Anolis sagrei: one gene and its partners. The protein of the gene in region 1 purifies or fractionates together with the protein of each later gene. This does not show direct contact. Links are inferred from orthologs where the notes say so. Each region holds a gene or a part of one and is shown on either strand. Other genes may lie near its edges. The genes, in order: H2AZ1, NAP1L1, WDR5 and RUVBL2.

Evidence for each region.
Region 2: the proteins of H2AZ1 (region 1) and NAP1L1 purify together in Homo sapiens (affinity purification with mass spectrometry; 3 studies listed by BioGRID and IntAct, with this or other methods). This does not show direct contact. The link is inferred for Anolis sagrei from reciprocal best matches to the Homo sapiens genes H2AZ1 and NAP1L1.
Region 3: the proteins of H2AZ1 (region 1) and WDR5 purify together in Homo sapiens (affinity purification with mass spectrometry; 3 studies listed by BioGRID and IntAct, with this or other methods). This does not show direct contact. The link is inferred for Anolis sagrei from reciprocal best matches to the Homo sapiens genes H2AZ1 and WDR5.
Region 4: the proteins of H2AZ1 (region 1) and RUVBL2 purify together in Homo sapiens (affinity purification with mass spectrometry; 6 studies listed by BioGRID and IntAct, with this or other methods). This does not show direct contact. The link is inferred for Anolis sagrei from reciprocal best matches to the Homo sapiens genes H2AZ1 and RUVBL2.

Annotation. Positions count from the first base shown.
Region 1 is NC_090025.1:26,582,913-26,589,766, reverse strand, and holds the start of H2AZ1 (histone H2A.Z), read left to right. Parts: upstream 1-3,832; 5' UTR 3,833-3,974; coding exon 3,975-3,977; intron 3,978-4,425; coding exon 4,426-4,503; intron 4,504-6,854. UniProt on the Homo sapiens protein: Variant histone H2A which replaces conventional H2A in a subset of nucleosomes. Nucleosomes wrap and compact DNA into chromatin, limiting DNA accessibility to the cellular machineries which require DNA as a template.
Region 2 is NC_090025.1:146,472,936-146,480,302, reverse strand, and holds the start of NAP1L1 (nucleosome assembly protein 1-like 1), read left to right. Parts: upstream 1-4,357; 5' UTR 4,358-4,466; intron 4,467-4,495; exon of another isoform or gene 4,496-4,653; intron 4,654-7,367. UniProt on the Homo sapiens protein: Histone chaperone that plays a role in the nuclear import of H2A-H2B and nucleosome assembly.
Region 3 is NC_090031.1:5,426,413-5,433,868, reverse strand, and holds the start of WDR5 (WD repeat-containing protein 5), read left to right. Parts: upstream 1-4,439; 5' UTR 4,440-4,639; intron 4,640-6,583; 5' UTR 6,584-6,663; coding exon 6,664-6,744; intron 6,745-7,456.
Region 4 is NC_090026.1:28,231,310-28,238,372, reverse strand, and holds the start of RUVBL2 (ruvB-like 2), read right to left. Parts: upstream 3,009-7,063; 5' UTR 2,943-3,008; coding exon 2,928-2,942; intron 1-2,927. UniProt on the Homo sapiens protein: Possesses single-stranded DNA-stimulated ATPase and ATP-dependent DNA helicase (5' to 3') activity; hexamerization is thought to be critical for ATP hydrolysis and adjacent subunits in the ring-like structure contribute to the ATPase activity.

The DNA of each region.
Region 1 (6,854 bases):
CCAAGGTTACAACAACATGTTATAGAACTCCAATATGCTGATGACAAAGTTGTCTGTGTGCATTCAGAATAAGACCTACAAGCCACTCTAAACACCTTTGCAGAAGCATATGGGAAGTTCGGCCCGTCATTGAACATCGAGAAAACCAAAGTGCTCTTCCAGCAGTCACTAGGCAATCCCTCTCCAATGCTAGAAACACAGCTTAATGGTGTAACATTAGAAAATGTTGACCATTTCCGCTACCTTGGCAGCCACCTCTCCACAAAAGTCAACATTGACACTGAAATACAACACTGCCTTAGCTCTGCCAGTGCAGCTTTTTTCTGAATGAAGCAGAGAGTGTTTGAGGACTGGGACATCCGTAGGGATTTCAAGGTGCTTATTTATAAAGCTATTGTCCTCCCAACCCTGCTATATGCCTGCAAGTTGTGGACTGTCTACAGACATCACATGCATCTCCTGGAATGATTCCATCAGTGCTGCCTCCAGAAAATCCTGCAAATCTCTTGGGAAGACAAGCGGACAAATATCAGCGTGCTGGAAGAAGCAAAGACCACCAGCATTGAAGTTATGGTCCTCCGCCATCAACTCCGCTGGACTGGCCACGTTGTCTGGATGCCCAACCACTGTGTCCCAAAGCAGTTGCTCTACTCCAAACTCAAGAACAGAAATTGGAATGATGGTGGACAGGAAAAAAGATTTAAAGATGGGTTCAAAGCCAACCTTAAACACTCTGGCATAGACTGAGAACTGGGAAGCCCTGGCCCTTGAGCGCTCCAGCTGGAGGTCAGCTGTGACCAGCAGTGCTGTAGAATTTGAAGAGGCACGAATGGAGGGCGAAAGAGAGAAACGTGTCAAGAGGGAGGCACATCAAGCCAACCCAGAATGGGACCACCTTCCACCTGGAAACCAATGCCCTCACTGTGGGAGAAGATGCAGATAAAGAAGAGGGCTCTATAGTCACCTACAGACCCACCGCCACTTATCTTGGAAGACTATCCTACTCGGACAACGAGGGATTGCCTAAGTAAGTAAAGTACAGAAAGGAGATTTGTGGATGAGGAATTCATAATACCCCACACTGTTACCGGGCAGTTTGGGTTGTTAAAAAAAACAACTTTGTAGGTGAGGTATTTGCTCATCTCTGAAACTGGAACTATCAATATATGTATATGAATGCAAAGGGGTCATATAGCATATTGGAGGCTGAGGGCCCTTCCATACAGACTTTAAAGTCCAGGATCTGATCCCAGCTTTTCTGGGATAAACAGAAAACCAGTTGAATCATGTGAAGTGCCTAAGAATAGAACATATGAGGATGCTGTGGACTCTTCTACACTGCCATATAAAATCCAGGTTATATGCTTTGAACTGGATTATTTGGAATATAGACTCATATAATCCAGTTCAAAGCAGATAGTGAATTATCTGCTTTGACATTGACATCTCCGGACCATTCTCTGTTCTGGTATCAGCCAGCAAGCCAACACTTTAAATCAAGAAGCAGCTTCCTAAGATCTACAGAGATACTTGCAGGAACACCTCAGCAAGCAAGAATCCAAAAGTGGCAGGTTAAAACCTGAAACTGGCTGATACCAGATGAGAAACTCCCTCAGGGCACACAGAAGGCTGCGTGACTTGGAAGGCGCTGAACAGACTGCGCTCTGGCACCACGAGATGCGGAGCTAACCTTAAGGAATGGGGCCATAAAGTGCCGCCCACGACATGCGAGTGCGGACAAGAGCAAACCGCAGACCACTTACTACAATGCAACCTGAGCCCTGCCACATGCACAATGGTGGATCTTCTTACAGCCACACCAGAGGTACTGCAAGTGGCCAGCTTCTGGTTAAAAGAAATGTAGTAGAATGCCAAGCTTTTAACTTTATGGTTTTTATATGAATTATAACTGCATTCTCAATTCACTTCTGGCACAATAAATAAATACCCAAACACCACAGTTCAACAATAAGTAATAAGTTTATTAAGAAAAAGGTATATAATAGAAAAGATAGTTTCAAAAATAATCCAGAAGTAATTCCAAAATTAGCAGACTAAGCAATCACAAAAGTACAATAAAAAAGCAGACTGTAAATACATTTTCAAAGTTATATCCATAAGCTCGATATTCTGGAGCTGTTCTACTCCAGAAACTTCATTTTTGTGGCTGTCACAAACTAGGTTGAATTGGTTGAGACTCTATGACAGGGGTCCTCAAACTAAGGCCCGAGGGCCAAATACGGCCCTCCGAGGTCATTTACCTGGTCCTCGCTCAGGGTCAACCTAAGTCTGAAATGACTTGAAAGCACACAACAACAACAACAACAACAACAACAACAACAACAACAACAATCCTAACCAATCTTGCCAAGAAAACCCTGTGACAACAACGGTTACCATTAGTCGAGAACCACTTGAAGGTACACATGGTAGATGCAATGCACAGCAGTTAGTATTCCTCTATAACAGACATTGGCAAACTTGGGCCCTCCTGGTGTTTTGGACTTCAACTCCCACCATTTCTAACAGCCTCAGGCCCCTTCCTTTCCAGTTCGGCGCGAGGAAGGGGCCTGAGGCTGTTAGAAATGGTGCGAGCTGCAGTCCAAAAGACCTGAAGGGCTGAGGAAGAAATGGAAAGTGCCTGAGGCTGTTAGGAATTGTGGGAGTCGAAGTCCAAAACACCTGGAGGGCTGAAGGAGAAAAGTGCCTGAGGCTGTTAGGAATTGTGGGAGTTGAAGTCCAGAAGACCTGGAGGGCTGAGGGAGAAATTGAAAGGGCCTGGGGATGTTAGGAATTGTGGGAGTTGAAGTCCAGAAGACCTGGAGAGCTGAAGGAGAAAAGGAAAGGGCTTGAGGCTGTTAGGAATTGTGGGAGTTGAAGTCCAAAACACCTGGAGGGCTGAAGGAGAAAAGAAAAGTTCCTGAGTCTGTTAGGAATTGTGAGAGTTAAAGTCCAAAACACCTGGAGAGCTGAAGGAGAAAAGGAAAGGGCCTGGGGCTGTTAGGAATTGTGGGAGTTCAAGTCCAGAAGACCTGGAGGGCTGAAGGAGGAAAGGAAAGTGCCTGAGGCTGTTAGGAATTGTGGGAGTTGAAGTCCAAAACACCTGGAGGGCTGAAGGAGAAAAGGAAAGTGCCTGAGGCTGTTATGAATTGTGGGAGTTGAAGTCCAAAAGACCTGGAGCGCTGAAGGAGAAAAGGGAAGGGCCTGAGACTGTTAGGAATTGTGGGAGTTGAAGTCCAAAACACCTGGAGAGCTGACGGAGAAAAGGAAAGGGCCTGAGGCTGTTAGGAATGGTGGGAGTTGAAGTCCAAAAGAAGTGGTGGGCCCAAGTTTGCTCATGCCTGCTTTATAATTTTCCCTACAATCCAGTTTTAGTGGAACCTACAGCCCTTTTAAGTATTTTGGACTTCAACTCCCAGAATTCCTGAGAGTGGTCCACGCTGGCAGGGGCTTCTGGGAGTTGAAGTCCCCAAGGACTAAAACGCTCAGAAGAGTTTCTCTTCACAGGAAAGTGGGGAAATTTATATATTTTTTAATTGAGAAAAAGGAACCAGCTGCAAAGAGGAGAGTGGGGATGTCTCTTTATTGAGTGGTGATGGGAGAGAGAAACGTTCCAGGCGGGGAAGGAGAGCAGAGAGAGGAAAGAACAGAGAGAAACGCCTCTGGGGGCTCAGGTGGGCGGGGCCTATACGGGACAGTTCGGCGCGAGACGCTCCGAACGCAAGCCCCTCCCCCTCCCTCCTGCTCGGCTTCCTATTGGTCCTCCCGGGGCGCAGGGGGAGCCGCCTCATTGTGCCGATTGGCTGGTTTGACGACGCGAGGCCCCGGATGACGGGACGTTAGAGCCGCCTATAAAGGGCTCGGGGAAGGCGGGAGCGGGCGCAGTTTTGAACTGGCGCCGCCGTCTTCGCATCGTCAGGGAGGTCTGCGCTCAGTTCTGCTTTCGTGTGTCTCATTCCAAGGCCTCATTCGAAATGGTAAGCGAGGGTGAAGCGGATCAGGGCAGATTAGGGGAAAGAAAGGGGAAAAAATTGTGAAGGGAGCGCGTGATGCGCCCTAGTCTCGTGCTGTCGGCTGCCTGGCATAAGGAATACCCGGATGGGGAAAGAAAGAGGGAGAGGCTAGAGGACAGTGAGGGGCGCGGTGGGAGAAGAGTGACGCGCATGCGCCCGGGAGTAAGGCTCGTGGAGGACCTACCGCGCATGCGCCTCGGCTCCGACGCCTTATAGAATGGGGGGGAGGGAATGCTGTGAAGAGGAGACTGCGCACGCGCGGGCCTGCCTACCTCTCGCGCGCCCTCTCCGCCCCAAGCCCTTGCGTCACGTGGGAGCCAGCCCGCGGCGGGGCGGGGGTGGTTGCTAAGGAGGAGGAGGCCACGTGTTGACTTGCCTTGCCTCTTCTGCTTCTTTCTCTGTGCTCTTCTAGGCCGGTGGCAAAGCTGGGAAAGACTCTGGGAAGACCAAAACCAAGACGGTGTCCCGTTCACAGAGAGCTGGCTTGCAGGTGGGCACTTGGGGGGTGTTGCAAAGCGTTCGGCCTTGTCTTGCGTCCTTCTAGGAAGGAAAAAGTTGATAGAATCAAAGAGTTTATTTATTTATTTGGGGTTCTTTTACCCCGCCCTTCTCACCCCGAGGGGGACTCAGGGCGGCTTACAAAGGCAAAGGCACAATTCGATGCCTGCATCATAAAACAATCATACACAAAATTACAACAATTCATGCATTATAACCATAAAATCAATAAAACCAATACAAACCCAGTTTCGCCTCTTACATGGTCAGCGTTCGCTAGCTCATAGATCTAGTTTTACATTCCACTTCATCAATCCTGTTGGACATACTCGCCTGGTTGTCTGATTTAATTGCCAGAGTGCCCAAAGGCCTGGTCCCATAACCACATCTTCACCCTCCTGGAGGCGAGGAGGGATGGTGATGCCCTGATTTCCCCCGGGAGTGAATTCCACAGGTGAGGGGCCACCACTGAGAAAGCCCTGCTCCTCGTCCCCACCAGCCTCACTTGTGACAGTGGTGGGGTCGAGAGCAGGGCCCCCCCCAGATGATCTCAGACTCCGGGTGGGACGTAGAGGGAGATACGTTCGGACAGATACACTGGACCGGAACCGTACAGGTTTTTGTAGGTTAAAACCAGCACCTTGAGTTGTGCTCGGAACTGAGTTGGGAGAGACCACGTCCAGTCCCAACCCCCTTTCCATGCATTAAGATGCAGCCCCAATGGAAAAGGCACGGGCAAACTTCGGTCCTTCCTCCAGGTGTTTTGAACTTCAACTCCCACAATATATTGTATTTTTATTTATTTATTTACTTCATTTATATACTGCTTTTCTCAACTCTTAGGCAACTCAAAACGGTTAACAACAGCAATTTCAATACACACATTACAAAACCATTGGAGCATTTAAAAACAAATAGCATAACAACAAACATCAATATTTATTTATTTATTTACGGCATTTATATGCCGCCCTTCTGACCCCTAAGGGGACTCAGAGCGGCTTACAATATATATTTTAGGTTCTTCTGGTTTTTTTCGGGCTATAGGGCCATGTTCTAGAGGCATTTCTCCTGACGTTTCGCCTGCATCTATGGCAAGCATCCTCAGAGGTGGTGAGGGTGCTTGCCATAAATGCAGGCGAAACGTCAGGAGAAATGCCTCTAGAACATGGCCCTATAGCCCGAAAAAACCCACAAGAACCTAGTGATTCCAGCCATGAAAGCCTTCGACAATACAATATATATTTTCATACAATATATTATATTATTAGCGTAGTACAATATCAGTATAATATTAGTATATTGCACTGTACCATTATATTGTATTACATTATAATATTATAAATATATGTATATATAATATACTATATTATATTATTAGTAAAGACAAGATGGAAATCATTCACGTCTCATCAATAGAATCAGAATCCAATATCATCATCCGTTACTCCGTGTTCCTATAATCAATTACACTGCCTAATCGAATGCCTGTTCGAACAACCGGGTCTTCACTTTCCTCCGAAATGCCAATAAGGAGGGGGCCAATCTGATATCTGTAGGAAGGGCATTCCACAGCTGAGGGGCCACCACTGAAAAGGCCCTGACTCTCGTCCCCGCCATTATAATCAATATAATATTGATTATATTATCAATATTATACACATATAATATTGATAATGTAATACAATATGATTCTAACAATATAGTAATTGTATATTTTATATTACAGTATAGTGGTATAGTACAATATGTAAATAAAAATGTAATGTTCGTTTGTGGGAGTAACATAGCTCAAAAACCACTGGACGAATTGACACCAAATTTGGACACAATACATCTATCAGACCAATGAGTGACCATCACTCATAAAAACACTGAAAAACCCAGCAGAAAAGACTCAAAAAAGCAAAAAAAAAATTACAATTCATGTACATAACCACATATATACACACACAAAACACATACACAAACTGGCCATAGCAACGAGTGGCAGGGGATAGCTAGTAGTAATATGTAATACTAATGTACTGTGCTAATAATATATTATATACATGTATAATATTGATAATATGTAATGCAATATAATACTAGTAATACAATATAATTGTATATTTCATATTACATGTAACATTACTAATAATATTACAGTATATTGGTATAGTATAATACAGTCATATAATAATAATGTGCTGTTCTAATAATATGTATTGTATGTACATATAACTTGTAAGCCTCTTTAAGTCCCCTTCAGGGTAAAAAGGCTGCTTATAAATGTTGTAAATAAATAGAATTCCTAACAGCCGGAAGACTGTTAGGAACTGTGGGAGTTGCCTTCCAAAACAC
Region 2 (7,367 bases), about 120 Mb from region 1:
TGTGTCTTGATTTTGTAGTCAGCTAAAAGTGCCATTCTCATGAGAACCAGTAGAATTATGAATTGAAGTACTGGCATGGTTTCCATCCAATGTGCCAGGAACCAATAACTGCTTCTATCTTGGAAACTTGCTGCAGATTGGCAGCCAGAAGTACATGGAATGGCACTTGTCCATGGATCCCCACTCTTGAGCAGCACTGTTGATGCATTAAAAGACTGATTGTTCCTAGACTCTCAGTGTACACCAGATTGCAGTGGGAGATGCTGTCTCACTGCAATCATGCTAGTTTAATTATGGAAGCATGCAGTTATGTATTATTCTTTCTCACAACTGTCGCTTTAGCGATCCATTGTTGCACAATCTGATTTTGGCACCACTGTCATTACACCAAAGGGCTGTCATGGCTTCTTTAGTGTTGTGGTTACTAGCTATGAAAACAATCTGTATCTTTCAGAGGTACCCTACTTTCATATTTTCTTGCAGATATGTCCATGTTGAATATTACTTCACATGCACCAGGGCTGTGCCCTAAAACAAAACCAATCCTGATGCTGGGTCTTACCACAAATTAATGTTTGGCAATGTATATCAGGATCCATGTTCATTGCCTATTTTAGCATGAAGATGCTCTGTGCGCCAGCTGCGCCCGTACCTTGGGAAGTCTGACTTGGCCACGGTAGTCCACGCTCTGGTTACATCCCGTTTAGACTACTGCAACGCTCTCTACGTGGGGTTGCCTTTGAAGACTGCTCGGAAGCTTCAAATGGTCCAGCGTTCGGCAGCCAGGTTGCTAACAGGAGCGGCACTCCGGGAGCATACTACTCCTCTGTTGCGCCAGCTCCACTGGCTGCCAGTTTGTTACTAGACACAATTCAAAGTGCCTATAAAGCCTTAAACGGTTCTGGCCCTACTTACCTCTCAGAACGCATCTCCTCCTATGAACCGGCTAGGACTAAGATCATCTGGGGAGGCCCTGCTCTCTGTCCCGCCTGCATCACAGGCGCGCTTGGCGGGGACGAGAGACAGGGCCTTCTCAGTGGTGGCCCCTCGGCTGTGGAACGTCCTGCCTGCAGATATCAGATCGGCCCCCTCCCTGCTGGCGTTTTGAAGGAAAGTGAAAACCTGGCTGTTCGAACAAGCATTTGATTAAACAGTGTAATTGAACATAGGAATACAGAATAATGGATGATGAGACTGGATTCTGATTTTACTGTTGAGGCTGTTAATAATTGTTATACAGATGTTTACTGTTAATAATTGTTATACAGATGTTTAATGATTTATGTTACAATTGTTTTTAATTGCCCTATACTTGTCTCGTGATGTTTTGTATTGATGTTGTTCACCGCTTTGAGTCGCCTGAGGGCTGAGAAAAGCGGTATATAAATAAATAAATAATAAATAAATAAATAATAAACATAATGTACACCCAAGAAAGCTCATGCTAAAATAAAACCTAGCTATTTATAAAGATGGTGCTATATCCTTTTTTTCCCCTGGAAATCTATCAAATTCCTTAGGAGCTCAGATGGGAAGTGGTGCTTATTTTGAAAGCATACGTCTTGGCTTAGGGTTCTTGCTAATTCAAGGAATGTAGGCTGGTATTGTTGACAGCAGTCTTCAAAAGTGTTAAGAAACTTTTACAACAGACATTAAGCTGAATTTTTCCTCTTTCAATAAAAAAATTAGACAACTTTTCTGTTAGTAAAAACATGGCAAAATAATGTACTTGATCAGTGCAAATATATCCTTTCTTTATTCCACTGTGGTCATCTTATGTCTATCCAGCACTGGACTGCCAAAATGATTCTGAGTCTCATGGCTCTGATCATGTGGTTCCCATCTTTAAAGCACATTAGCTTTTGTTCTATTCCCAGGTGCAACATGCCTAATCCCCCTTCTTTACGACCATGCTTAGGAGTGTGTGCGGATGAGATCTGCAAGGTCTTTTCACCATTCCGCAATGCAGTATGGCTTTCGCTGTGTAGATCAGGCATGGGCAAAATTCGGCACTCCAGTTGTTTTGGATTTCAACTCCCACCATTTCTAACATCCTCAGGCCCTTTCCTTTTCCCCCTCAGCTGCTTAAAAGGAAAGGGTCTGAGGTTGTTGGGAATGGTCAGAGTTGAAGTCCAAAATACCTGGAGGGCTGAACTTTGTTCTTGCCTGGTGTAGATGATTACATAGGAAGTCCCAGAACCAGTTCGAAGCCCAGGTGGTGATAGCACAAACCACAGCGCACTGATGCACATTAAGGGCTTTCTTTTGCCTTCTTTTGTGGGATTTTGTTGTCCAGCCACCACAGTTTGCGAGCCAACTTTGAACTGCATTACATGGATAGTGTAGATGGGGCCTAAGGCAACCCTATGACATGGTTTTCTTGAAGGGAGGGGGGAGTTGCCTTTGCCTTCCTCTGAGGCTGAAAGAGTGTGTCTTGCTCACAGTCAGAAGGGTTGGTTTGAAAACCGAGAATTTTTAGAGAACACCCTAAAATCCAATATCTGGCCACTTGGAGTGCCTCTGGTTTTCGCTATGAGAAGGTCCTCCATTGTGCATGTGGCTGGGCTAAGACTGTATTGTAATAGGTGGTCTGTGGTTTGCTCTTCTCCACACTCGCATGTTGTGGTCCCATTTTGTGGTCCCATTTCGTAAGGTTGGCTCTGCATCTCATGGGGCCAGACCGCAGCCTGTTCAGTGCCAAGTCGCCCAGTCTTCTGTGTGCCCAGGCGAGAGTCTCTCATTCGGTATCAGCTATGGGTTGAGGTTCCAGGTTTTAGCCTGCCACTTTTGGACTCTTGCTTGCTGAGGTGTTTCTGCGAGTATCTCTGTAGATCTTAGGAAGCTATTTCTTGATGTAAGACATTGACGTGTCAGTTGATATCCGAAGAGGGGATGGGCCGGAGATGTCCATGCCTTGGTCCTTTCATGATTGGCAACTTCCCAGCAGATGTCAGATGGTGAAATACCAGGTAAACAGTATAATTTCTCCAGTGGTGCTGGGCGTAGACATCCTGTGATAATGCGGCATGTCTCATTAAGAGCCACATCCACTGTTTTAACGTAGTGAGATGTGTTCCACACTGATCATGCGTACTCAGCAGCAGGGGACACGAGAGAAGCCTCCCAGCAGGATCGTAACATGTCTGGGAGTCTCCTGGGCAATGTCTTTGTTGACGGCTGATTCTTTCACACCAGAAGCAACTTGCAGCATGCAACCAAACAAATAATACAGGTAATACATTATTATTAGATAAAGGTTTTCCCCTGACATTCAGTCCAGTCGTGTCCGACTCTACGGTGTGGTGCTCATCTCCATTTCCAAGCTGAAGAGCCGGTGTTGTTCATAGACAGCTCCAAGGTCATGCATGACTGACTGGAGCGCTGTTACCTTTCCGCCGGAGCGGTACCTATTGATCTACTTACATTTGCATGTTTTCAAACTGCTAGGTTGGCAGAAGTTGGGGCTGACAGCGGAAGCTCACACCACTCCCCGGATTTGAACCTGCGACCTTTCGGTCAACAAGCTCAGCAGCTCACCGGTTTAACGCACTGTGCCACTGAGGGCTCCGCATTATTATTAGGTAAAGGTTTTCCCCTGACATTAAGTCCAGTCGTGTCCAACTCGAGTGTGGTGCTCATCTCCATTTCCAAGCCGAAGAGCTAGTGTTGTCCATTGACACCTCCAAGGTGTGACTAGCATGACTACATGGAGCACTGTTACCTTTCCACTGAAGCGGTACCTATTGATCTACTCACATTTGCATATTTTCGAACTGACAAGTTGGCAGAAATTGGGGCTGACAGCACACTACTCCCCAGATTTGAACCTGCAACCTTTTGGTCAACAAGCTCAACAGTTTAACCCGTTGCACCACCAGGGACTCCATTATTATTATTATTATTATTATTATTATTATTATTATTATGTGGAAATATTCCTTTACAATTGAACAGAAGGAGGGCTAGTTGCCTTCCCTTCCCATTTAGATTGCGTTCCAGAGGCTGCAGGGTGAAGTTTTGAGGCCAACAAGAGCCACTGTGGCCACTTCCTAGAGCCAGCGCCCTCCTTTTTCTCTCTCCACTCTCCTTCCCAACTGTCATCCTCTCTGCTCTCCTCCTTTTGCTCCCCCCTCCCTCCAACCTCACACTCACGCGCACGCGCACTGCTGTTTGTCCTGAAGGAATCCAGGGAGCACGTGTCCAGCCCGTGAAGCGCCGGGGCCTTGCCCGTCCGGGCCCGCTGATTGGCTAGGGCAGAGTTGGCGGGTTGATTGGCGGGCGGGGGGGGGGGGAAAGAGAGAGAGAAAGAGAGCGAGATTTACTCCCCCCACCTTCTATTTTTTGGGGCCTTGTCACTAGGCAGCGAGTGTGGACGTTCCGAGCGCGCGGGAGGCGGATGTGCGCGCGCGCCGGCTGGGTTGCCCAGCAACAGGAGCGCGCGGGAAAGGCGAGAGGAGGGGAAAGAGGTGTGTGTGTGGAGAAAGAGGGAGGGAAGCGTTACGTGGTGACGTTAATTCTATATGAGCGCGAGCGGCGGGAGCTTGGGTCCTTTCCTACTGCTGGCCGCGCGGCGCTGCTTCCCCGCTCCTGAGTCACTCACGGCGAGGCTGAGGAGAGAAGCGGAGAGGAGAGAAGAGAGCCGGCCTCGCGCAGGTAGAGAGAGAGAATGAGAGAGAGAATGAGAGAGAGGAGGGCGGCGCGTGGCGGGGAGGGCGAACGAGCGAGGGAGGGCGAGGCTGGGGATGCCTGAAATGGCGGCATGACGACGACGACGACGTTGCTCGGTGAGGCAGGAAAGAAAGACCTCTTGAGGGGGAAAGCTTGGCGTTGGCGGGAATGGAGAAAGCAGGCGGGCAAAGGGGGTTCCTTTCCCCCTCTTCTTTCCTGTGGCTCTTCGCCCGTGGCAGGGCAAAACCGCTTTCTCTCTCCTATCTGAGGCCACTTTCCCCTCAGAAAATCTGGGTAGATGGGCACCTCGGCCCGGCCTAGTCCGCCCGCCTGAAGCCACGGCCAAACACGTGGGGACGAGGCCTCTTACTTCCCCGGCGCCACGTAGATGGCGTGGCCGGGGCCTGAAGCGCCTGGGCCGGGAGGTGGCTTGCGAGGCGTGAGGTGGAAATACATACCCCTCTTCTGTTGAGTTTTGGGGTCTCAAGGGAGGGGAGGGGAGAGGGAGGAGAGAGAAGGGCGTCTCTGTTTGGCGGGAAGTAGGCTTGGAGTAGACTTGATCGCTCTTCGTTAGGTTTTCCACAGGAATAAAAGCACCCGCTTTAGTTGTTAGGAGAGAGTTGATGCAAACCTGGTGTGGTTGCGTCCACAGGTAACGCAAGACCTCTGGCCTCCATTTCTTTCCTTGCTGTTGATTCCAGGAGGCAGAAAAGCCTCTCTTTCGCCAATGGCAGCTATTTGCTTAGCGGAAGGGAACAGCAATACATCTATGGACATAGACACACTTGAACAACAATGGCATTGTAACTTAACTGCACGATTTCTCCCAATCATCAACATCAAATGCACATGAAAGAAAACAACCCCACACATACAGAACATAGAAATATTTGAACAACATTACAACTACACAGTTTATCTTAGTAACATCAAATGCAAATAAATTGTGTAGTTATTCAATACTTATACACACATTGCAATACTTATACACACATAGACACATTTGAACAACAATGGCATTGTAGCTTAACTGCACGATTTCTCCCAAACATCAAATGCAAATGAAAGAAAACAAACCCACACATACAGAGCATTGAAATATTTGAACAACATTACAACTACACAGTTTATCTTAGTAACATCAAATGCAAATAAATGGTGTAGTTAGTTCAATACTTATACACACATAGACACACTTGAACAACAATGGCATTGCAACTTAACTGCACAATTGCTCCCAATCAAATGCAAATGAAAGAAAACAAACCCACACATACAGAACATAGAAATATTTGAACAACATTACAACTGTACAGTTTATCTTAGTAACATCAAATGCAAATAAATTGTGTAGTTAGTTCAATACTTATACACAGATAGCAATACTTATACACACATAGATACACTTGAACAACAATTGCATTGTAACTTAACTGCATGATTTCTCCCAATTATCAACATCAAATGCAAATGAAAGAAAACAAACCCACACATACAGAACATTGAAATATTTGAACATTACAACTACACAGTTTATCTTAGTAACATCAAATGTAAATAAATTGTGTAGTTAGTTCAATACTTGTACACACATAGCAATACTTATACACACATAGACACACTTGAACAACAATTGCATTGCAACTTAACTGCACAATTTGCATCAACATCAAATACCAATGAAAGAAAACAACCCCACACATACAGAACATTGAAATATTTGAACATTACAACTACACAGTTTATCTTAGTAACATCAAATGTAAATAAATTGTGTAGTTAGTTCAATACTTGTACACACATAGCAATACTTATACACACATAGACACACTTGAACAACAATTGCATTGCAACTTAACTGCACAATTTGCATCAACATCAAATACCAATGAAAGAAAACAACCCCACACATACAGAACCTAGAAATATTTGAACATTACAACTACACAGTTTATCTTAGCAACATCAAACACAAATAAAGAAAACAACAATACTTATACACACATAGACAAACTTGAACAACAATGGCATTGCAACTTAACTGCACAATTTCTCCTATCGTCAACATCAAATGCAAATGAAAGAAAACAAACCCACACATGGACTGAATTGAAAAGCATTACAACTACACAGTTTATATTACCAGCATCGAACACAAAGAAAACAACAATACTTATACACACATAGACATACTTGAACAACAATTGCATTGCAACTTAACTGCACAATTTCTCCTGTCATTCACATGAAATGCAAATGAAAGAAAACAAACCTACACATGCATAACAGACTGAACTGAACAGCATTACATCTACACAATTTATATTGCCAGCATCAAACACAAATAAAGAAAACAACATTACTTATACACACATAGACATACTCAAAGAACAATTGCATTATAATTACACTGTTTTTCTTAACACGAAACACAAAGTACACATCCGTACTTACATGCATACATAAATATACTGTAATTGACTGATTGCAATAATGATACAATTTCTCTAACCAACATCAAGCACAAATAAAGAAAACAAAAATACTTATACATACATCAACATACTTGAACAAAAATTGAATAACTACACAATTTCTCTTACCAGCCTTAAACACAAATAATAAGAGAGAATGCTTCTAGGGCATGGCCATACAGACCAAAAATCCTACAACAACCCACAAATAACAATACTTACACG
Region 3 (7,456 bases), on another chromosome or scaffold:
TGTTGGTTCTCTTGGACATCCCAGCGGCTTTTGATACCATCGATCATGGTATCCTTCTGGGACGACTCTCCGGGATGGGCCTTAGAGGTACGGCTTTGTCCTGGAGGGTCGATCCCAGGTGGTGAAGCTGGGTGACGCCTGCTCGGACCCCTGGCCTTTGACCTGTGGGGTCCCACAAGGTTCCATTCTGTCCCCCATGCTTTTCAACATCCTGATGAAACTGCTGGGAGACGTCATCCGGAGTTTTGGAGCTGGGTGCCATCTCTACGCAGATGACGCTCAACTCTACTACTCTTTTCCACCTAACTCCAAGGAAGCCCCTCAAGTGCTAGACGAGTGCCTGACCGCTGTGGCTGTCTGGATGAGGAGGAACAAGCTGAAGATCAATCCCGACAAGACAGAGGTCCTCCTGGTCGATCGTAAACCAGTCCGGGATATAGGGTGGCAACCTGTGCTGGACGGGGTTGCACTCCCCCTGAAGTCACAGGTCCGCAGCTTGGGGGTCCTCCTGGAGTCTTCACTTACGTTTGAGGCTCAGGCGTCGGTGGTGGCCGGGAGGGCCTTTGCACAATTAAGACTCGTGCGCCAACTGTGACCGTACCTCGGGAAGGCGGATCTGGCCAAAGTGGTCCATGCTTTAGTCACCTCTAGACTGGATTACTGCAATGCACTCTACGTGGGGCTGCCCTTGAAAACGGCTCGGAAATTCCAGATGGTCAAACGGGCGGCGGCCAAGTTGCTAACTGGGGCTCCTTAGAGGGAGCGGTCATCCCTCCTGTTCAAGGAGCTCCATTGGCTGCCATTCATTTTCCGGTCCCAATTCAAGGTGCAGGTTCTTACCTACAAAGCCCTGAACGGTTTGGGACCCGCCTACTTGCGTGACCGCACCTCTGTATTCGAACCCACACGATCCCTTTGATCATCCGGGGAGGCCCTGCTCTCGATCCCACCAGCATCGCAGGCGCGGTTGGTGGGGACGAGAGAGAGGGCCTTTTTGGTGGTGACTCCTCGACTCTGGAATTCTCTCCCTAAAGACATCAGACAGGCCCCAACCCTGGCAGTCTTCAGGAGGAGCTTGAAGACGTGGTTGTTCCAGTGTGCCTTCCCGGAATAATTGATTCCATAGCACCTTGTCCTCCAAAGCACTTTACATTTTTAAGGTCTGCTCATATGCCCTTCCATAAATGCCACTATCACCTTCTCGTCCATGTCCCAGCATTACTTCCAATTTTAATTTACATTTGGCCTTCCCACTGTTTTTAATTATGTGTTGTCTTATTGATAATGTTGTATATTTTATTTGTCTATGTTTTATTTTAATTGCTTGTACTGTTGTTATTGCTTGTATTGATGTACTGTGGGCTTGGCCTCATGTAAGCTGCACCGAGCCCCTTGGGGAGATGGTAGCGGGGTACAAATAAAGTGTTATTATTATTATTATTACTATTATATTACATTATAATATATATATATTATTAGCATAGCACAATATTAGTGTTCTATATTATTATATTGTACTAGACCACTATATTCATAGAGTTGGAAGAGACCTCCTGGGCCATCCAGTCCAACCCCATTCTGCCAAGAAGCAGGAATATTGCATTCAAATCACCCCTGACAGATGGCCATCCAGCCTCTGTTTAAAAGCTTCCAAAGAAGGAGTCTCCACCACACTCCGGGGCAGAGAGTTCCACTGCTGAACGGCTCTCACAGTCAGGAGGTTCTTCCTCATGTTCAGATGGAATCTCCTCTCTTGTAGTTTGAAGCCATTGTTTCGCGTCCTAGTCTCCAGGGAAGCAGAAAACAAGCTTGCTCCCTCCTCCCTGTGGCTTCCTCTCACATGGCTATCCTATCTCCTCTTAGCCTTCTCCAGGCTAAACATGCCCAGCTCCTTAAGCCACTCTTCATAGGGCTTGTTCTCCAGACCCTTGATAATTTTAGTCACCCTCCTCTCGACACTTTCCAGCTTGTCAATATCTCTCTTGAATTGTGGTGCCCAGAATTGGACACAATATTCCAGGTGTGGTCTAACCAAAGCAGAATAGAGGGGTAGCATTACTTCCCTAGATCTAGACACTAGGCTCCTATTGATACAGGCCAAAATCCCATTGGCTTTTTTCACCGCCACATCACATCTTTGGCTCATGCTTAACTTCCTGTCCACGAGGACTCCAAGATCCTTTTCACACGTACTGCTCTCGAGCCAGGCATTCTCGCCCATTCTGTCTCTTTGCATTTCGTTTTTCCTTCCAAAGTGGAGTATCTAGCATTTGTCACTGTTGAACTTCATTTTGTTAGTTTTGGCCCATCTCTCTAATCTGTCAAGATTGTTTTGAATCCTGCTCCTGTCCTCTGGAGTATTGGCTCTCCCTCCCAATTTGGTGTCGTCTGCAAACTTGATGATCATGCCTTCTAGCCCTTGATCTAAGTCATTAATAAAGATGTTGAACAGGACCGGGCCCAGGACGGAACCCTGCGGCACTCCGCTCGTCACTTCTTTCCAGGATGAAGAGGAACCCTTGGGGAGAATCACCCTCTGGATTTGTCCATTTAACCAGAACCCCCCTCTTGGTTCGTCCATTTAACCAATTCCAGATCCACCTCACCATAGTTTTGCCTCGCCCACATTGGGCTAGTTTCCTTGCCAGAAGGTCATGGGGGACCTTGTCGAAGGCCTTACTGAAATCCAGGTACGCTCCATCCACGGCATTCCCTGCATCTATCCAGCTTGTAACTCTATCAAAAAAAGACATCAGATGAGTCTGGCATGACTTGTTCTTGATCAATCCATGTTGACTATTAGCAATGACCGCATTTGTTTTTAAGTGTTTGCAGACCACTTCCTTAACAATCTTTCCCAGAATCTTGCCTGGTATCGATGTGAGGCTGACCGGACATTGGTCATTGTTTGGGTCCTCCTTTTTTCCCTTCTTGAAGATTGGGACCACATTGGCCCTCCTCCAATCTGCTGGAACTTCTCCCGTTCTCCAAGAACTCTCAAAGATGGTTGCCAATGGTTCCGAAATGACTTCCGTTAGTTCCTTCAGTACTCTTGGGTGTAGTTGATCTGGCCCTGAAAGGGGACTTGAACTCATTTAGAGCGGCCAGGTATTCCTGGACGACTTGTTTCCCAATTTGGGAATCTCTCTAATCCCTCATCCACTCCATCTTACGGAGATTGAAAATGACTTTCTTTTTGTGAGAAGACCGAGGCAAAGAAGGTATTAAGTAGTTCTGCCTTTTCCCTATCCCCTGTCAGCATTGCCCCATCTTCTCCTCAAAGAGGCCCTATCGCCTCCTTGTTTTTCCTTTTTCTACTGACATAAGAAAAGCCAGCAACTACTTAAATCAAGAAATAGTTTTCTTAGATCTACAGAGACACTTGCTGGAATACCTCAGCAAGCAAGAGTCCAAAAGTGGCAGGCTCAAACCCAGAACCTCAACCAATGGCTGATACCAAATGAGAGACTCCCCCCTGGGCACACAGAAAACTGGGCGACTTGGAAGGCTCTGCACAAACTGCGCTCACCACGAGATGCAGAGCCAACCTCAAGAAATGGGGCCACAAAGTGGAATCCACGACATGCGAGTGTGGAGAAGAGCAAACCACTGACCACCTGCTGCAATGCAACCTGAGCCCTACCACATGCACAATGGAGGACCTCCTTACGGCAACACCAGAGGCACTCCAAGTGGCCAGATACTGGCCAAAGGACATTTAATCAACTACCAAGTTTGCAAAATTTGTTTTCTTTTTTCTGTTGGTTTGTTGTGTTCTGTTAGAAATGTAATACAATTGTATGCTTGCTGATGACACGATAAATAAATAAATAAGCACAATATTAGTGTTTGATATTATTATATTGTACTAGACCACTATATTGCTATATTATTAATAATATTAGATGTTCTATATAATATACAATTATTATATATATTTATTGTATTGTATAATAATATTATCCCATTACATATATAATACATTAACAGTATATTATACAATTAGTAATATATATATGTGTGTATCTACACACACACACACACACACACACACACATATATATATATATTTAATACTTCTTCATACAAAATGCCAAAATCATATAGAGATATATTTAAGTCATGGATACAGATCAGTTCGGCCTATTCTTCGAAATTTACTGAAAATCCCCTAAAAATGCTTTCAGAACGTTCATTCCAAGCAGGCCAAAGAATTCGCCCCTGTCCCTTTAAGGCGTTTTGCGCGCGCTCAAGTCTCTTAAGTATTGTTTTGAGATCTTTTTATCCTTCGCGGGCCGCCGTAGCCGAGGGAGGCCCCCTCCTGCGCGTGCGCCAAGGGAGGCTAAGCGAAAAGATGTCGCTCGCGTTGCCTATTAAGATTTGAAGGCTCTTTTTATCCCTCGGGGGCCACCGTAGTCGTAGGGAAGCTATCCTTCTGCGCCTGCGCGGGGCGGATTCTCGCTGCGGCCGGCCTGAGGAGCGGCTGCGTCCTTCCTCACTGCGCCTGCGCGAGAGGCCTTCCTCCCGCCCGGCGGCCAGAAAAAGGAAAACGGGGCCGCCGCTGAGAGAAAAAGGACGGAGGAGGCGAAGGAGAAGGAAGAGGAAGACATCCTCCCTTCCGTCGTCAGGGGCGAATCGAGTAAGGCGGGAAAGGCGCAGGCCCAACGACTAGGCCTCAGTGGCGATGACGTCATGGGGTCCTTTTTGCCCCCCTCCCCCTCCCTTCTCTGCCCCGAAGAGCTTCCAGTTCTATAGATACAGATTTAGGGATGCTTTCATGGGTTTTTGTGTGTCTGGCGAACTGAAAGTCTTCCATTGCTGAGATATGCAAGGATTATGCGTGTGTGGCCAGTGTGTACACGTGTGTGGCCGTGCACACGTGCTTTGAGAGGAGAAGCCTGAGCTAAAGTGGGATCAATGCAGTTTTGCAGCACTTGAACTGCCATGGTTCAGTTCTATGGCATCCTGGGAGTTGTAGCAATATCAGGTCTCTAGAATGCATCTACATTGTGGAATTAATGCAGTTTGGCCCCACTTTAATTGCCATGGCTCAGTTCTATGGCATCTTGGGAGTTGTAGCTTTATAAGGGCTCTAGAATGCATCTACATTGTGGATTTAATGCAGTTTGGTAGCACTTGAACTGCCATGGCTCAGTTCTATGGCATTGAGGGAGTTGTAGTTTTATCAGGTCTCTAGAATGCATCTACATTGTGGAATTAATGCAGTTTGGCCCTACTTGAACTGCCATGGATCAGTACTATGGCATCCTGGGAGTTGTAGCTTTATCAGGTCTCTGGAATGCATCTACTTTGTGGAATTAATGCAGTTTGGCTCCACTTGAAGTGCCATGTCTCAGTACTATGTCATCGAGGGAGTTGTAGCTTTATCAGGTCTCTAGAATGCATCTACATTGTGGATTTAATGCAGTTTGGCACCAGTTTAATTGCAGTAGTGCAGTGCTATGGTATCATGGGAGTTATAGCTTTATAAGGCCTCTGGAGTGCATCCATATTGAGAAATTAATGCAGTTTTGCCCCACTTGAACTGCCATGGTCAGTTCTATGGCATTTTGGGAGTTGTAGCTTTATAAGGGCTCTAAGGTGCATCTACATTGTGGAATTAATGCAGTTTGGCTCCACTTGAAGTGCCAAGGCTTAGTTCTATGGCATCCTGGGAGTTGTAGCTTTATCAGGTCTCTAGAATGCATCTACATTGTGGAATTAATGCAGTTTGGTCCCACTTGAACTGCCATGGCTCAGTTCTATGGCATCCTGGGAGTTGTAGCATTATCAGGTCTCTAGAATGCATCTTCATTGTGGAATTAATGCAGTTTGGCACTACTTGACCTGCCATGGCTCAGTTCTATGTCATCGAGGGAGTTGTAGTTTTATCAGGTCTCTAGAATGCATCTACATTGTGGAATTAATACAGTTTAGCTCCACTTTAATTGCAGTGACACAGTGCTATGGTATCATGGGAGTTACAACTTTATAAGGTCTCTGGAGTGCATCTATATTGAGAAATTAATGCAGTTTGGCACCACTTTAATTGCAGTGATACAGTGCTATGGCATCATGGGAGTTACAGCTTTATAAGGTCTCTAGAGTGCATCTATATTGAGAAATTAATGCAGTTTGGCACACTTTAATTGCAGTGAGGCAGTTGTCCTTTTATAAAGTCTCTAAGGTGCATCTAGATGGTGGAATTAATGCCGTTTGGGTACCACTTGAGCTATCATGGGGCATTGCTATAGCATCGTGGGAGTTGTGGCATTATAAGGTCTCTAGGGTTCATCTACATTGTGGAATCAATGTATAAGTTGTATAAGCTGTATAAGTTTTATAGGGTGTACCTACATTGCAGAATTAATGCGGTTTGGCATCAGTTTAACTGCTGTGGCACAGTGCTATGGGATTCTGGGAGTTGTAGCTTTATAAGGTCTCTAGGGTGCATCTATATTGTGGAATTCATTCAATTTGGCACTGTTTGAATTGCCACCCAAGTCAGTTTTGGAAAAACAATGTTAAAGCATTTACCGTATGAAAACAATTGGTTGGTTTCTTTTTCTGTCCGTTTCTCCAGGAGACTGCTTTTACTTCTAAGCCGTCGTGCTCTTTTGTCCTCGGAAGAGCCTGAAAGCTGGCTGGCTTCTTTCCAGAGCTATGGCCACGGAAGAGAAGAAACCCGATGCAGAGTCGACCAAAACGCAATCCACGCCTTCCTCTTCGACCAACCAAACCAAGGTACGACGGAGGCATCTGCCTCCCAAACTCAAATGCTCAAAAGGTTCGGAGGCTGCTTAGTATGTTGGATTCTTCCTAGCCCTGGAAATCCCAGTGTCATTTAAGGAGTTGGGTGAACATTGCTCAGGGAAGGGTTCATAAGTTGTACAGGCAGTCCCAAAGTTACGTACAAGATAGGCTCGGTAGTTTGCTCTTAAGATGAATTTGTATGCAAGTTGGAACCTGGACACAGCATATTATTTGAGAACACAGAAATGCTGGACCACTCTCACAACCACCATGTCAGACTACACAGAGAAGCCATTGAAATCCACAAGCATGTGGACAATTTCAACAGAAAGGAGGGAACCATGAAAATGAACAAAATCTGGCTACCAGTATTAAAAAACTCTAAAATTACAACAACAAAACAACAGAAAGTAAACAATCAGGCACATCAAATCACCTCTCAACAAAACATGCACTTCCCAGGCACTTCCAAGCCAATAAATGCTAATCAAGGTGGTCAGTTGAAGCATTCACACCTAGCTCCAGCAGACAAAAGTCCTTTGTCCCACCCTGGTCATTCCACAGATATATAAACCCATTTTCCTAGTTCCAACAGACCTCACTACCTCTGAGGATGCTTGCCATAGATGCAGGTGAAACGTCAGGAGAAAATGCCTCTAGAACATGGCCATATAGCCCGCAAAAACCTACAACTACCCAGTGA
Region 4 (7,063 bases), on another chromosome or scaffold:
AATCTATTATTATTATTCTGACACAAAAGCACAGTATGTCACAGCAAACGAGATCTACATGCTGGATTTCGTATCAAAAATCACAAATCGAACACTTCCCAAGTGTCTAGGACTGTGTGATGTATTTTCGAATGATGCACACAGATCCAAGTAAGGTGGCCTTTTGTAGTTGATAGATCGTGATTTTGTTGATGTTTATTGTTTCCAAATGCCGGCTGGGATCTTTTGGCACGGCACCCAGTACGCCAATGACCACTGGGACCACCTGTACTGGTTTATGCCAGAGCCTTTGCAGTTCAATTTTGAGGTCCTGAGAGTGGCAGAGTTTTTCCTGCTGTTTTTCCTCAGTGTAACTGTCACCTGGTATGGCGACATCAATAATTCAAACTTTTTTCTTTTCCACAATCGTGATGTCAGGTGTATTGTGTTCCAACACTTTGTCAGTCTGGATTCGAAAGTCCAACAGTATTTTTGCATGTTCATTTTCCACAACCTTTGCGGGTTTATGGTCCCACCAATTCTTTACTGCTGGCAGGTGGTACTTGTGACATAAGTTCCAGTGAATCATTTGGGCCACAGAGTTGTGTCTTTGTTTGTACTCCATCTGTGCGATTTTCTTGCAACAACTGAGGATATGATCTATGGTTTCATCAGCTTCCTTGCACAGTCTACTTTTTGGACCATCAGCTGATTTTTCAATCCAGGCCTTAATTGCATTGGTTCTGATTATTATTATTATTATTATTATTATTATTATTATTATAAAACTACATTTATACCCCACCCTTCTCTCCCCAATTGGGGGACTCAGGGCTGCTTTCAGACCATGGCATACAATGCCGCATTACACATATAAAATATATCAATTTAAACAATTAGCATATCAATTATCAATTAAAACATACGGTACTAAACGTGACATACCAATTAAACAATTCAAATATAAATACAATAAGAAGCTTCAAAGCAAACATTCAATCCCAACCAAAGTGGGCTGATGACATATCAATTAAACAATTCTATCAAAATACAATAAAACATCTTAAAAGTAAACATTTAATCCCAACCAAAGTGGGCTGATGGAATAATAATAATAATAATAATAATAATAATAATACTTTATTTATACCCCTCTACCATCTGCCAAGGGACTCGGTGCGGCTTACATGAGGCCGAGACCACAATACATCAATACAAGCAATAGCAATTACAAAACAAAACAAAATACAAATACTAATACAAAGCAATTAAAATAAATCTCATACACAAAACAGCATAAACATTGAACAGTGGCACAAAACACATTTAAAAACTATGGCTGGGCCAAATGTAATTAAGTTAAAAATAATGCTGGGCATGAACAAGGTAGAGGAGGTGGGGCGTTGGGGAAACGTACAAGCAGTCCTAAATCAGTATAAAGTGCTTTGGAGGACATAATGCTAAGGCAGGGGTCTTCAAACTTTTTAAGCAGAGGGCCAGGTCACAGTCCCTCAAACTGTTGGAGGGCTGGATTATAATTTGGGGAAAAAAATGAATGAATTCCTATGCACACATCTTATTTGTAGTGCAAAAAACCCACTTTAAAGCATTACAATAATTAAAATGAAGAACCATTTTAACAAGTATAAACTTATTAGTATTCCAGTGGTATGTGTGGGCTTGCTTTTGGCTGATGAGATTGTTGTTTTGGCGGGTTGTTGTTGTTGTTGTTGTTGTGTGCTTTCAAGTAATTTCAGACTTAATGTATTGTCGAAGGCTTTCATGGCTGGAATCACTAGGTTCTTGTGGGTTTTTTCGGGCTATATGGCCATGTTCTAGAGGCATTTCTCCTGACGTTTCGCCTGCATCTATGGCAAGCATCCTCAGAGGTGACCCTCACCTCTGAGGATGCTTGCCATAGATGCAGGTGAAACGTCAGGAGAAATGCCTCTAGAACATGGCCATATAGCCCGAAAAAACCCACAAGAACCTAATTTCAGACTTAGGTTGACCCTGAGTGAGGGCTGGGTAAATGACCTTGGGGGGCCATATTCGGCCCTCGGGCCTTAGTTTAAGGACCCGTGTGCTAATGGTTCATTATTCTGTGAAAGCACACTGGAACAACCACGTCTTCAAGCTTCTCCTAAAGACTGCCAGAGTTGGGGCATACTTGATGTCCTTAGGGAGTGAGTTCCAGAGTCGAGGGGCCACCACCAAGAAGGCCCTCTCTCTTGTCCTCACCAATTGCGCTTGCGATGCAGGTGGGAGCGCGAGTAGGGCCTCTCCAGATGATCGAAGAGATCATGTGGGTTCGTACACAGAAATAAGTGGCCACAAGCAGCAGGCAATCTACACAGTAGAATTAATGCTGTTTGACAGCACTTAAACTGCCATGGCAATACTGGGAGTTGTAGTTTGTTGAAGCAGAGAAGTCTAAAGGACTTCTAAAATGACAACGACGAGGATTCAACAGCAGTGGGCTGTGGTTGATAAAGTGGTGTCAAACTGCATTCATTCTACAGCAGGCATGGGCAAACTTGGGCCTTCCTCCAGGTGTTTTGAACTCCAACTCCCACCATTCCTAACAGCCTCAGGCCCTTTCCTTTCCCCCCTCAGCCGCTTAAGCGGCTGAGGGGGGAAAGGAAGGGGCCTGAGGCTGTTAGGAATGGTGGGAGTTGGAGTCCAAAACACCTGGAGGAAGGCCCAAGTTTGCCCAAGCCTATTCTAAAGTATAGTAATACACCTACAACACTGCAGGCCTCTGATAAACTACATAGCCAAAGATAAGAGGTGATGATGGGAGTTACACTCCCAACAAAACCGGGGAATGCTTGCTCTGGCATTCCTCTCACAAGTTAGAAGAAAAAGAAAGTAATCAGATGCTAAACTCGTATAAAAGAAGGATGATCCGGGTATTTTCAAAGGAGGGAAACAAGGCTGTCGCTCACCGACACCGTTGCCATGCTGCTGCTCCCGCCGTCTCTCGCGCCGTCTCTAAGCGGCAGCCGGCCCTGCCTCCTCAGCACCGGAAACAGGAAGCGGCCTCAGCTTTCAGGGCGCTCTGTCCGAGGCAACGTCTATGCTCCCTCAGTCCTCCAGTAGTCCTTGCTGTAGTAATAGTCATTCCAGCTCAGCTGTGTACAAGGTGTCTGTGAAGTCTCTTTACCAGTTTATTAAAAGAGGCTTTAAATGTTGTTATGTTTATTTACCCTGATAATTAATTAATGAGTTAAATATCTAAGAAGCTAGACATAATGCAACCTGTCTAATTATGTTAGAGCAAGCATGGGCAAACTTGGGCCTTCCTCCAGGTGTTTTGGACTGCAACTCCCACAATTCCTAACAGCCTACCGGCTGTTAGGAATTGTGGGAGTTGCAGTCCAAAACACCTGGAGGAAGGCCCAAGTTTGCCCATGCATGTGCTAGACTGCTGGGATTTGACATCCACATTGTTGCCCAGGCCTGCTTTCTCCCTTCTCCAGCTCTGAGAAGGCCCATCTCACAATTTTTCCATGGCAACAGTAGACATACTCTATTTGCAGCTTCCCTCCTTCCTCCATCTACCTCATACAGCTTCTCACCTCTTCATTCTTTCCTCTCTTCCTTCCTTTATCCCTTCTTGTGTCCAATTCTGGGCACCACAGTTTAAGGGAGATATTGACAAGCTGGAATGTGTCCAGAGGAGGGCGACTAAAATGATCAAGGGTCTGGAGAACAAGCCCTATGAGGAGCGGCTTAAGGAGCTGGGCATGTTTAGCCTGAAGAAGAGAAGGCTGAGAGGAGATATGATAGCCATGTATAAATATGAGAGGAAGCCACAGGGATGAGGGAGCAAGCTTGTTTTCTGCTTCCTTGGAGACTAGGACGTGAAACAATGGCTTCAAACTACATGTCCATCTGAACATGAGGAAGAATTCCTGACTGTGAGAGCCGTTCAGCAGTGGAACTCTCTGCCCCGGAGTGTGGTGGAGGCTCCTTCTTTGGAAGCTTTTAAATAGAGACTGGATGGCCATCTGTCAGGGGTGATTTGAATGCAATATTCCTGCTTCTTGGCAGGGGGTTGGACTGGATGGCCCATGAGGTCTCTTCCAACTCTTTGATTCTATGATTCTTTCTTCTCATCCTTTCTCTTTCCTTTCACTTCCTTCCCTCCTTTTTCTTTCACCCTTTCTTTCCTTCCTTTCCCTTCTTTTTCTGCTACCCCACTTTTTCTCTACAAGGAGACTCATGTTCAAACGCAAACACATGTTCTAACTGTTTCTATGGCGGTATATTTCTAGTTATCTACTTCTAACTCTTTGCTTTACTGGGAAATTTATAGTGAACATTGCTATTTTATGACACCATACTTTAGGGTTCTTTCTGCCTTCATTTCAGTTGAAAACCACTTCAAAAAAAGTCCTGTTTAAATATAGTTAGCCATACGATAAATTTTATATGAAAGCATGCACAAAGCAAAAGGAAAACTGATGTGACAAAAGGGGAAATTATCAAGAATGAAGCAACATCTACCAATAAAAGTTTTGAGGATTTTTTTCAGATTAAAATATTTTATTTTAAAATAAACAGTGCTTCAGAGAAGCTTTCGGCATTTCACAGAAACACACCCAAATCCCTGAGTTTGTGGGATAAATTAAGAGATTTGCAGTAAAATTCTGTACATTTTCACACTGTGTTTTCACATTGTTTGTAGCTTGCAAGTACATTTTGAACAGGATACATTTTCCATGTATAGTAGGACCCCCATATCCACTGGGATATAACCGAATGCCATTAAATCACATGACTTCCATATCAAAGCGATGCACTAGAGCAGTGGTTCTCAACCTGTAGGTCCCCAGGTGTTTTGGCCTACAACTCTCAGAAATCCCAGCCAGTTTACCAGCTGCTAGCATTTCTGTAAGTTGAAGGCCAAAACATCTGGGGACTTACAGGTTGAGAACCACTACACTAGAGGATCTAGAGATTCCTATAGAAGAGTAGTTCTCAATCTGTGGGTCCCCAGATGTTTTGGCCTTCAACTCGCAGACATCTTAACATCTGCTAAACTGGCTGGGATTTCTGGGAGTTGTAGGCCAAAACACCTGGCAAGCCACAGGTTGGGAACTACTGCTATAGAAATATAATCTCTAGGAATTCACTAGGTCCTCCAATGCAACCCTATGGTAACTTCCAGGGAAAGCATACTATAGAATCACCTGGAAAACCTAGCAAATTCCCAGAGAGAGACCATTATTCCTCTGCTGTGGATAAGTGAAGCCATGGATATAAGTTCCATGTTTATAGGGATCTTACAGTATTGATTCCACTTTTCAAAAGCTCCCATAAAATCAAGAAAATTAACAAGCAATAAAACAACACAATAAATATATATATATTTAAAAACAGCAAAACAAAGAAAAGTCACACATAGAAACCAGAACTAACTCTTATAAAAAAAAACTTGGGAAAGCAACAGTTGGCACATGTAAAATAAAGTGAGCACAAAAGCCTTACTTTGAGCTACTGCTTATCCTACTGCCATAAAACAGCTTCTAAGGAAAGCCTCAATTTCCAGAGATATTTATCACAGAACAAGGTTGTAATTTAAGGTCCTCTTACATTACAACCCTTTGCATATTTCCTTGAGAATAAGGTAGCATTTGGAAATTAGTTACACAGCAACATATTGCACTGTCCCAAAAAGCAATGACATTTTCATGGGTGAGGAGAGGACTATGTCCTTCCTTTTAATCCTAGAAATCTCAATGTTTCATTTCCTTTTTTTTTAAGTACAGCTTTCCCTAATCTTTTGTCCACTAGATCATCTGAAATGCAACTTGCATTAGCATGGAAAACTTGGCCTATGGTCAAGGAGGGTGGGAGCTGTACAGTCATCCTTTCACATTTGCTGGGGTTAGGCAAAAGTGAAAAATAAAAATAAATGGCTTTTTTAAAACTTCAGATAATACCTCTCTAGGAATTTCGATATCCTCCAGCATGACACTATGTGAACTTTCACTATGTGAAATTGACCATAGAATCGCATGGAAGACCTACAGTTTGTTTTTAGAGAGGTGTTCTCTGTATGACTCTCTGAGGTCACATTTCAAACACAAGGCTTGCGGGCTGAATCTGGCCCACCATGTCCTTTTATGTGGCCCTCCAGAAGGTGGACTACAACTCCTGTATTCCGTACCATGAGACATCATGTCTAGAGTTGATGGGAGTTGGGATACAGCAGCATCTGAAAGGCTGCAGTTTGTCCTGTTGAGTCAGGAGAGTGGAGTTTTAGATACAAGGCCTGTGGATATAATGCCCTTTAACCTTTCCAACCTCAGGGTGACAAGTGCTGTTGGGTTGCAATCTCCATTATCCACAGTCTGTATAGCAGATAATCAAAAGTGATTATAGTTGTTCAATAACATCTGACAACCCAGACTGGGTAAAAACTAAAGAGCACTAACCAATATGTGTGTGTGTGTGTGTGTGTTTGTATATAGATAGATAGATAGATAGATAGATAGATAGTGTTGACACTATATATGAATGAATTCAACACCCATGGATTCAACAGCCCTTTGAAGGCAACCACAAGGCTGATGTGGCCCTCGATGAACCTCAAGGCTGATGTGGCCCTCGAGTTTGACACCCTTGTTCTATGTCAGGCATATGCAAACTTTGGTCCTCCAGGTGTATTGGACTTCAATTCCCATCATTCCTAACAGTCTCAGGCCCCTTCCTTTTCCCCCTACATCTAGAGGGCCAAAGTTTGCATATGCCTGTTCTACGTCCTCCCAACATGACTCTACAGTCAACATCCAACAAAGTTAATCACAGAGTTATACTGGAGGATGGAGAGAATCCTAGAACATTTTAATCAAATCCGCAAATGTCGGATCCACAAACGTGTAGGGCGACTGTAATTCAGATATCTAAAGGGCACCAGGTTGGGGGAATCTGTCGCAGAGAATAAACCAGCACATCTAACAAGTCCTTTTTTTTTTACATTAGCAAAGTAAAATTTCATGCAATTTGTCTGACTCTTCCTTTCTCCTTCATTTAAAGTGTCATCATCAAAAATAAAAACCCAAATTTTACAAGA